Linked DNA regions of Drosophila melanogaster. The protein of the gene in region 1 interacts with the protein of each later gene in a pairwise test. Each region holds a gene or a part of one and is shown in the gene's direction. Other genes may lie near its edges. The genes, in order: Ddr and CG3061.

What was found.
Region 2: the proteins of Ddr (region 1) and CG3061 interact in a two-hybrid assay, tested with the Drosophila melanogaster proteins (one large-scale study listed by BioGRID).

The regions. Positions count from the first base shown.
Region 1 is NT_033779.5:6,251,056-6,256,190, forward strand, and holds the start of Ddr (discoidin domain receptor), read left to right. Parts: upstream 1-2,067; 5' UTR 2,068-2,274; intron 2,275-4,803; exon of another isoform or gene 4,804-4,820; coding exon of another isoform or gene 4,821-5,135. Other genes in the region: AANATL2 (arylalkylamine N-acetyltransferase-like 2), read left to right, coding at 4,821-5,135.
Region 2 is NT_033777.3:14,030,195-14,035,544, forward strand, and holds CG3061 (uncharacterized protein), read left to right. Parts: upstream 1-2,176; 5' UTR 2,177-2,495; coding exon 2,496-2,628; intron 2,629-3,072; coding exon 3,073-3,247; intron 3,248-3,311; coding exon 3,312-3,726; intron 3,727-3,792; coding exon 3,793-3,905; intron 3,906-3,967; coding exon 3,968-4,131; intron 4,132-4,185; coding exon 4,186-4,298; 3' UTR 4,299-4,847; downstream 4,848-5,350. Other genes in the region: Cyp6d5 (cytochrome P450 6d5), read left to right, coding at 1-90, 160-590, 682-930, 1,069-1,232; CG9922 (uncharacterized protein), read right to left, coding at 4,986-5,084, 5,250-5,350.

The DNA.
Region 1 (5,135 bases):
ATCAACAGTTTGATAACTTTGCAGACATTAAATCGTTCACGGTTTGCAAAGCGTGAAAAGAAAAGCAAACAGCTGTAGGGAAAAACTTGTGATAAGAACTCTTGGCTCATGCTCGACATCAATCTGTTTTCCCCCTTCTGCATTAAGTCAACAATTTGATATGCATTTTGTTTTGTTGCTGCAAACACATTGCTCTCTGTCTTAGTGGGTTTTGGAATTTTCAAAGTTGCCTTAAGCCCCCGTGCTGCAACTTTCTGACAGCCGGTGATTGAATGTTTGGCAACGACATCGGGGATTAACTCGGCAGTTATCCTTATCAGCAGTCCGATGCCACCGGGGCCATTCAGACGCTCGTTGGCCAGACATGGCCCTAATTGAAGTGGCAACTTGCTTTAAACTAATTCCCGGCGATACACGCTTCAGCCATATGTTTATTCAGAAAGTGTGCCTGTGCAGATAAAAGGTATAAGATGAATTTGTTATTGAATAATGTCAAAATCGCATAGCCTTGCTAATTTCTTGTACATAATCCCTAAACGCAAAATTAAGCACATGTGTGTAATTTATTTGCTTAATTTTAATGCATTTTTGGTGTCACATTTCTTGGGTCTTTTATTAAGATTGACTACGCATAATAATTAGAGAGTTTAAACATTACGTTTTTGTTGCACAAAAAATGTTGTAAAAGCTAACAACATTTAACTGCATTTGATACAACAAAATTAAACCAATGTAGGTTTTCTATTTTAAGGGCTTTGCCTTGAGCTCTTGTGTATTTTTGAGATACATTTTACTTTATATAAAACGTAGATATTGATTTTTCTGATTAATAAATAGACAACTGGTTTCCAAGCAAATAAAGAAATTTAAGAATCGAGGCAATATTTAAGGATGTAAATGCGCAAAAGCCTTTAGGGTTTTACTCTCTGTTTGAATAAAATGTCATAAACAGCAGCCCACTTAATTAAATATTGGTTACTTGCATCTTTTGATATTTATTTTTTCCTCTTAGTTGCGACAATTTTAAAGTCTTTGTTGTTATCTTTTTTACATTTTTTTTATGATATCATTTTTTTTTACACCTCTCATACTCGAGTTATGAATATTGTAAAGGTAGAAAAATAAACTCCATTACTATATTGGTTAATGAAAGTTGAATACATTTCGCGGTGCCATGTTGCTTTACTTTGTTAAAACTTTTTTAAAAAAAAGTTGCATTCGCTTCCGTTCAGGATAATTAATTTTTTCGATAGCCCATTTTGATTTTTTCCATAATAACTCTTTTGCTGGCCGAAAACTTTTGTAGTTGTTTACATGACCCCCATCCCCCCCGCGGAGTTCAGCTGTTAGGATCCACAGCTCCTTATTTACCTTATGTAAATGTAAATGCTTATCAACAGGCAGCCGCGCTCCGTCTTATACGACGAAACAACGAGAGTCGAAGAGAGCGGAGCACGCTCTTAAATTGCAGAACTCTCTGATACAGTTCAAGTTAATACAAAGTAACGTTGAGTTTGTTTTGTTTGTGTGGGCGGGCTGGGCGGTGAAAGGTGAAGCAGGTCCAGAAATGTAATCAATAATTTTAAATATTTAATGCGCTAGCGAGAGAGTTTTTCCAGAAAAGTTGTGAAAAGAGGTATTTTCTTTTCAAAAACTATCTTAGCAAATGTGTCCAGTTTTGTATTCAATTTTGCATCAGAAACTATGTACCTTTATTTGTATTTACAAGCCAGAATTATGGACTCACCTGTGCCAGCAACAACTCACCTCCCCCTCACACAACCTACTCATACTTTTCTCATCAAACAAATGGGATCCACATGCGAGCGAGTTTGCGCCAATGATGAAAGAGAGTGGCGCTCTTTTAACCTACTCTTTCAAGTACTCTTTGCGACAGCAGGAAACGTCGCGCAAGGAAATCGCAAATGTTTCCTCTTTCGTGTGCATGTGTGTGGTGTCCTCCGTGCTGGTTCGTCTGTGTGCGTGTGGATGACATTGTGGCACTCGTTGAGGCAGCTCCAATTGACGGGCCAGTAGTCGTTGCGAAACTTTTGCTGGAGCAACGCGTCGGACAACTGGCGGTGTTGCACCTATCGTTATCGGCCATCGGCAATCGATTGTCGGCAATCGGCTATCGACAACAAACTATCGTTATCGGTTATCGTGTGTGTCGACCTTGGTGGTGATTAGTGTTAACGGTAACTTAACCATGTGCAACATCATCAAGCGAATATTGGATCATCCGCAGGACTCCAAAGGCCTCCGAATGTCCAGGTGAGCCCGTATGCTTTTCCACCCAGTTTTGCCACCCTGGCGACCCGCTTGCCACCACGAAAATTAACCTCGTTTGGCTTAAATGTAGTTAACTAAAGTTAAACGACCTCTAATGTCGATTTAATTATGTGAAAATAAAAGTTATGATTTCGTTTTTCGGCTTTTAGCTCATCTTAATGGGGTGATTAACGGTAATTCGCATGGTCGGGACGAATCCAATAAAAAGTTTAAGAAGTAATTGAAACTAATTAAAACTATGCTCACCGAAATATGCACCTAATATTTGCTAACAGCTTTATGATGCCATTAAAGACCGGCCAAAATTTGAGGGGGAAAAGTTGGCGGCGGCCAATCAAATTTGAGTGCTCCAACTTAAAATTAAATTATTTTGCTCTACTTTAACTTACATAACTCAAACCACTAATTGCTAACAAAACAATTTCAAATGGAGCTCATAAACTAAATCTTTAGTATTTCGCAGTGCCTGCAAATTCGACTTAACTTCTTACATGCCAAAATGCCATAATTATTGTGATTGTTAAAACGAACTAATGGATTGATTATAGCTATTCACAGCTCAATAGTTGAGGTTTAATGGGGACCTTGAAGTTATGATAATGAAATGTCTGATTAAGTGATAGATACAAAGCGCATAGTTCGGGCAACAAAAGGTAGCAAACCGTTTTAGCGCCTGAAAAACCCGCAGGCATTAAGATACCAGCTCAGATAGGCGTAGAGGTGATCGTGGGAACGAACTTTGACCCCTGCCAGTGCATTCGTTTTTAATTAAATGGAAGAGTGGACAGTGGAGGCCAAAAGTGACTTTTGAAATGGTCAGGCAGATAAAAGTGCAATAACTATAAAGCGAGGGTGGCGCAAACGCTATCGGCAGTCGGATCCTGGAGGTCGTGGACTGGGCGAACCCAAACACGCACAAATTTGTTAAGCGGGTCACGTAGTCCGGGAAATCCCATGCCATCCTAGCCAGCCCCTCTGGGTGTTGTCATCAACACGAAAATAAAAATAGAAAATTAAACTTGAAACGCGCAAAATGGCTACAAATGCTCTTGCTCTGCGCTGTGAAAATCGATTTCAATAAACTTTAATTCGTTTTCGTTTTCCCCACTGAAGTCATCGGATGTGGAAACCTTGAAAATGACGCAACAAATTAAATGCCAATAATTTAAAACAATTGCGACTCGAAATGCCAAGTAAAAGCAACCTTAAAAAGCGACCAGAGCGAGATAGCGTTTTGTTTATGGCTTTTAAATCTAATTAAATTCCCATAAAGACCGCGAGCGATATCAAAAAACAGCGCTGCACGTAGAGTAAATAAATAAATAAAAAAAAATGATTTTAAACTTCAAACGGGTTCAACGACTACCAAGCCCCGCAAATAATTGAAAAAGACAACTAGGGGGCGGAAAATGCAAAACGGCGATGGGCAACAAAGGGTTAATGTGGTGCAGTAAAGTGCGTGTGACAGTCCACGAGGGCAAACTAAAAAGGGGTTGATGTAAATTGCACTAATGACCTGCATTTTGAGTTTGAACAGCGATTCATAATTTAGCCAAATGATTCGTCGAACAGAAGGTGGGAACTCAACCACCGACTTGTTTCGCATTGAAACACGCAAAATGCAAAAGCAAAGCCCTGCCTTAAACCTGTTCAATTTTATTCACCGGACCACTCATTGTTTGGAATATTATTCACCACTTGAGAGTGGAATCGCCGTCTACAGACCTCAAGTTAACAACTTTTGTCCAAGTTTGAGAAGCAATTTTAACCCATATATCCCGGTGATTAGTGGCTTCCAATCCGTGTGAACTTCAGGATCCTGAAAACCTGATATGTTATCAGAGCTACAGTTTCAGGATTAAACAGATGCTTATTATATCTATCACTTTTTATATGTAGGGTACAGCTTGCGTTTAAGAACGAGTATCTTATAGTCGAGTTCGAGCCGGGTAGAAATTATATTTAAATGCCATCCACAAGTGGACTACTTGCCTAAAAATACCTGTCTTGAATTACCCGTTATACACTCTATATAAAAACATATTAAGTCTAAAGCTGCGCAATCTACACTTGAGATCAGTATCTACCGGCAAGTAAAATAGCTACATATAATGTTCCGTAGATATTAACCCAATGATAAGATCCGTATTACGAGACATATGGGGTCTCATATAAACCGTATAATGACTCGTCGTAATCAGGTGGCGTCAATCGGACCGCTAAATGGTTTGAGATCATTATTCACACGCTCAGAACAACAAAACTGGTGTCATTCAACCTCGGGGCCGCTTGTTTAGCGAACATCATTTTGAAAAAAAGCTTTGATAAGAACTGTGCGTCGGGTCAGTGGGTGGTTGGGCGGTGGGAGGTGGGCGGTGCGTTGGGAGGAGGGCCCCATATTCGTGAAAAGCTCAGAACGGAGACGATGGCGCAAGCTCACTGCATGTTTGATGGCCTGGCATGTATATAACAAGTAAATTGCGCTAAATTTCTCTCAGTCTCAGTCCGCGAGCGAGGCAAATGCGAAGATGTCAGCGATCACCATACGCGCCATGACAATCGGGGATTACGAGGAGGTCGAGGCCTTTCTCGCAGTGCACTTCTTCAAGCAGGAGCCGCTAATGCTGATCCCCCAGGAGGATCCCAAGCAGAGCGAGGTGTCTTCCGCGGAGGCTGAGCTACACCGCTCGCTCATACCCCAGGATCTCTCCCTGGTGGCCGTCGACGGGGAGCGCATTGTGGGCGTGGTTCTGGCCGGTGAATTGGTACCCGAGGATCTGGAGAGGGAGTACCAGGAGGCTGAGCAGAAGGAGATCACGTGCCTGCTGGACAAGATACACAAG
Region 2 (5,350 bases), on another chromosome or scaffold:
CAACAACGAATTCCAGATTATTAGCAAAAAAGTGAATCGTAACAACATTGAAGATATTATTCGTGGAACATCTAGTTTCCTGTATCCCGGGTAAGTTGAAGGTGGACTTTATAGACTTTATAATTAAACATAAAACCTATATCTTTCAACCATTTGCAGGCTGGAGAAATTCTTTGTGAAAATCGGCTGGAAACAGGAGGCCACCGAAAGAATGCGCGAGTTGTCCAATCGAACCGTCGATCTCAGGGAACAGAACAATATAGTTCGCAAGGATCTGCTGCAACTTCTGCTGCAGCTGCGGAATCAGGGAAAGATCAATACCGATGACAATATTTGGTCGGCGGAAAGCACTAAGAATGGTGTTAAGTCCATGTCCAAGGACTTGATTGCCGGCCAGCTATTCCTCTTCTATGTTGCCGGTTATGAGACGACAGCTTCTACAACATCCTTTACCCTATACGAGCTAACCCAAAATCCTGAAGTGATGGAAAAGGCTAAGGAGGATGTTCGCAGTGCCATCGAAAAGCATGGCGGAAAGCTGACATACGACGCCATCTCGGACATGAAGTATCTGGAGGCGTGTATACTCGGTAAGTTTTGATGGGAATATATGGCAGTTCTTTCATATATATTTTCCATATTTTTTTTATAAATGGTTTAATATTGTATACTTTCTAACAGAGACTGCTCGCAAATATCCCGCTCTGCCACTGCTGAATAGAATCTGCACCAAGGACTATCCTGTGCCCGATAGCAAACTTGTGATCCAAAAGGGTACTCCCATCATAATCTCCCTCATCGGAATGCACCGCGATGAGGAGTACTTCCCCGATCCGCTTGCCTACAAACCGGAACGGTATCTGGAGAATGGTAAAGACTACACCCAGGCGGCCTATTTGCCATTCGGCGAGGGACCCAGGATGTGTATCGGTAAGAAGAAAGGTTCCACATGAACAGGGTGAAATGGGAGTTTGAATACTTCAGATAAGTAATACTCAAATCCACTATATCCCACCGATCTCTTTCCAATTGCCCATGGAAACTAAGAAATTTCCGTCTATTTTCCAGGCGCCCGCATGGGAAAGGTGAATGTGAAGATAGCGATTGCCAAGGTTTTGTCGAACTTCGATCTGGAGATCCGGAAGGAAAAGTGTGAGATTGAGTTCGGCGTGTATGGAATACCGCTGATGCCCAAATCAGGTGTTCCCGTGCGTCTGTCTCTCAAAAAGTAGCTCCTAGTCTTGTAATTAAACCATGTAAACCGTATAATAAACGTGCAATTTGTAATGAAAATATGGACAAACATATCAATTGGATGCACTTCTCCCTCACACAGTTACACGCACACACACAAACACAGGCACACGGGCGTACGCACCTTTGTAAATGTAAATAGTTTCTCGTTCTCCGCTTTACATAAGTCGCCCTATTTACTCGAAATTGGGGGGATTCTGAGTAAACTTTGGCTCAGCGAATATTTATTCGCATATGATCTGAATCTCCATATGGCCGGGAAATGCACTTTTTCCAGCTATGACAACACAATATGGCCGAAAAAATACTCTTTCACTTTTTCCAGGCCAAGTTGTGTGAACTGCGCCACACACACGCACATACACACACACACGAGAGCGCACGCACTGGGGACACGCACACTGTCGCACTCGCGGCGATGACGTTTTCGGCCGCAATGCACCTAATTAACGGATATTTTTGCATCTAATTCGATTGCACTCGTTCGGCGGCGACCCTTGGCTATTAGTTTGCAAATTTCCAAGTAAATACGACGAATTTGGCGAATCAGCGAATCACTCGCTTCCCATGCTGCGGCACACACTCACACGCTACCACCCACACGAACGCATACATATGTTTGTCGCCGGCGGTCCGGCAACGCTGCGGCAATGCAACTCTGCCTGGCCACTTGGCTAATTTTGGCTATTTACCAGCCAACTACTTTATAGCTAGCTGCTTATATATTTTCTTTTTGATTGTTCCAGTTTAATAATAATAATATAATACAATTATATTTAGAAATTTAAATTTTTCATAAATTGTTTTAAATATGCTTACGATTTTTATTCTTATTTATTTCTTAAAATATTAGGTGACTGGATTTTAGCAATAAAAACAAGCTATATAATAGCACAGCCTGCATATGAAAGCATCTCTGCTCGTGTTTTTTGCCTTGACTGGGTGGCAACTCCCTTGTTTTTCTCGGCTGACGAAAAATTTGACCGAAATAAATCAATTAAATTGAAAGTGTAGTGAAAAGCAAATTCACAGTGAAAAAGGTGCAAGGTGGGAGGCTAAAAAAAGCCGTGTTTAACAAGGCTTTTCGAGCCCAGAACCCAGCAGGCGTACGTGTGTGTTGGTGCGTAAGCCCATAGACGTCACACGCTCACGCACACAAATAAAGAGAGCGGAGCCTCACTATTTACTTTGATCACCACGTAGTTAACTAGCTAAAACTAGTGATTACGCACTAAGGCGCCATGGACGGAAACAAGGACGAGGCCCAGCGGTGCATCGACTTCGCGGTCCAAGCGCTCGCCGCGGGCAAAATCGAAAAGGCCGAGAAGTTCCTTCTCAAGGCGGAGAGGCTCTTTCCTACGGATAATGCCAAAAGTAAGGATAACAAAGGAAGTAGATCCACTGGATCAACTACGTTCACATTCCCATATCAATTGATGCGATTTAGTTTGGCAAGCATGCTTCCCTTTGCCTTTTAAAAGCGGTTATCTTTGAGGCTTGTTATCAGTAGAAACAACCAAGTTATGTTTGTGTTATGTCGCACCTTTCGTGGGTAAGCCAGGTAGAGTGGTACGATCTTTATCGAATTAGCTTTTAACATACAGCCTTGACGATATTCTAAAGATGAAAAGCAGTAAAGTAATAGTCATTACACAATACAAGAGATGCGTTGCATTCATTATTTTCACAAGAGCATTATTGCAGCACCTTTGTTTTAAAGTCCTTGTAAAACTTAACAACAGATCAACAACATCATGCCACAGCATTAAATGAATATTGACCTTTGACCTGCTGACGTGTTTCTTTTCCATCTTGTAGAGCTACTTGCCCAGTTGAAGAGCACTCCGAGCAACGAAAGCAATGGCAAATCCCGTACAGCGGGTGCCAGCGATGAGAAGGACAGCGGGCCGAGGAAACGTGTGAACTCGGATTCCCGTTCCAGTGCCCCAGATTACACCAAAGATCAGTTGGAAGCTGTGCGAAAGGTCAAAACGTAGGTACCACTCTATATAGCCAGCCTTTCACATTACTAATTGCATTTGTGCATTTGGTATTAGATGTAAGGACTACTACGAAGTACTGGGCGTTAGCAAGACGGCCACTGATTCGGAGATCAAAAAGGCCTACAAGAAGCTAGCTCTGCAATTGCATCCCGACAAGAATAAGGCTCCTGGTGCGGTGGAGGCTTTCAAGGCTCTCGGCAATGCTGCTGGCGTACTTACGGATGCCGAAAAGCGCAAGAACTACGATCTGTATGGCATCAATGAGTCGCACAATGGTCACGGCAACAATGGTGGCGGACACCATGGACACGGGCAATACTACAACAACGAGTATGGATATTCGCGTGGATTCCAGGCTGACATCAGTGCCGAGGAGCTGTTCAACATGTTCTTCAACGGCGGATTCCCACAGCAGAATGTCCATATGCGGCAGCAGCGACGTCGTCAGCAGGCTCGCGAGGATCGAGAAGTAAGTGTACCGAGTCGAAATCATTTGTGCACATTATAAACGACTGCCTTTTATCTCCATATCAAGGGTAACAACTCTTCGGCCTTGGTAAACTTGCTGCCCATCGTGCTGCTCATTGGACTCTCCATGATGTCGTCCTTCTTCATCTCGGACCCAATGTACAGCTTGACGCCCTCTCAGTAAGCAAACCAAATTAAAAATTAGCTTAGCACTAATGTGGATTCATTTCTCTAATCCGCAGTAAATATTCGGTGAAGCGTGAGACGAACTCCCTGAAGGTACCATACTACGTAAAGGACAACTTCTATTCAGAATATCAGGGATCAGTGGCCCGATTAGAGGAATCCGTGGAAGAGGACTTTGTGAATCATCTAAAACACTCCTGCAGTCGAGAGAGGAATTATCGTAAGTTAGGCAGAGGAACTATACTAAACTGATATTAACATAAACGATTTACAGGCGACTCAATGCTGGCCAAGGCGCGTACCTTTGGCGATCGGGATCTGTACAGAAAGGCGCAGAACATCAATACGCCATCGTGCGAGAATCTGCAAAAGTATTTAATCACATAAATTAGTTAATGCTATCACACGAAAAGCTACTCCTCAAATCCACCACTATTTGAAACCTTAACTGCTGGGTTGTGTAGTTATTGCATATTTTGCTTTAGTTGTTATAAATGAATTTCATTGTCTATTTTGTTTCATAATTTATATGTCTATTTAAATACCTTCCCTCTCTCCCCCAAAAAAAAAAATGAAACGGAATGAAACGTATAGAGCTGCTATGAGGCATCAGGTTTTCCCCAATAACGTTTGGTAGCATTTTCATTTCGTATAGAAAGCAATCGGGCAATATGTGAAAGCGAAGCAAACGCAACTGCCAAAAAGTCATATTTACACGATTTACGAATATAAGTGGGCGGCTGAGACGAAGGACTTTGCGTTTGTTTCATTTAGCAATCGGATACATAAATTATAAACATAAATTATACACGGATACGACGCATCATCACATTTTTCTTAAGGACACGGAACGCATGGGCAGTGGCGATATTCTGAATAAAATTGCAAGTTATTATAACTCCAAAATAAATTCGTTTAGACGATGTAAGCACTCTCACTCATTTGTGGGCTTAAAAGTCTTTTTGTTTTGTATTGTTTTCTTCGCTAGAGTTTATAAATGTACAAATAAAGCAGTGTGTTGTTACGCTACATAAAAGAAACAGACGGCGGATTGCTTCGGATTCCACGAGCACCTCAATTGCTGATGATGGCTTCCAAGGCGGCCACCACATCGCCGCTCTGCTCGCGGAGCACTTTCTCGGCATGCGCCTTGCTAACCAGCAGCTCGTTCATCTGAAAGGGCAGAGGGGAAGGAAACCATTACAAAAGGAAGATCGGAAGAAAGTTATCTATGGGAAACCAAAGGAGGAAATCTAAGGGAACTGGAGCTAATGCAATGAACTATATTTGTATCTCTACAATGAAAGGGAATACTTCCTTGTAGTTTCGCATACGTACAATCAGTTCAATGTCCTCCTTCTTGACTTGGACCTTCTGGAGCTCCTTCTCTTTGGCTACTCGCAGTTCGTTCTCCTTGTTACGCTGGTTGCCAAACTGCT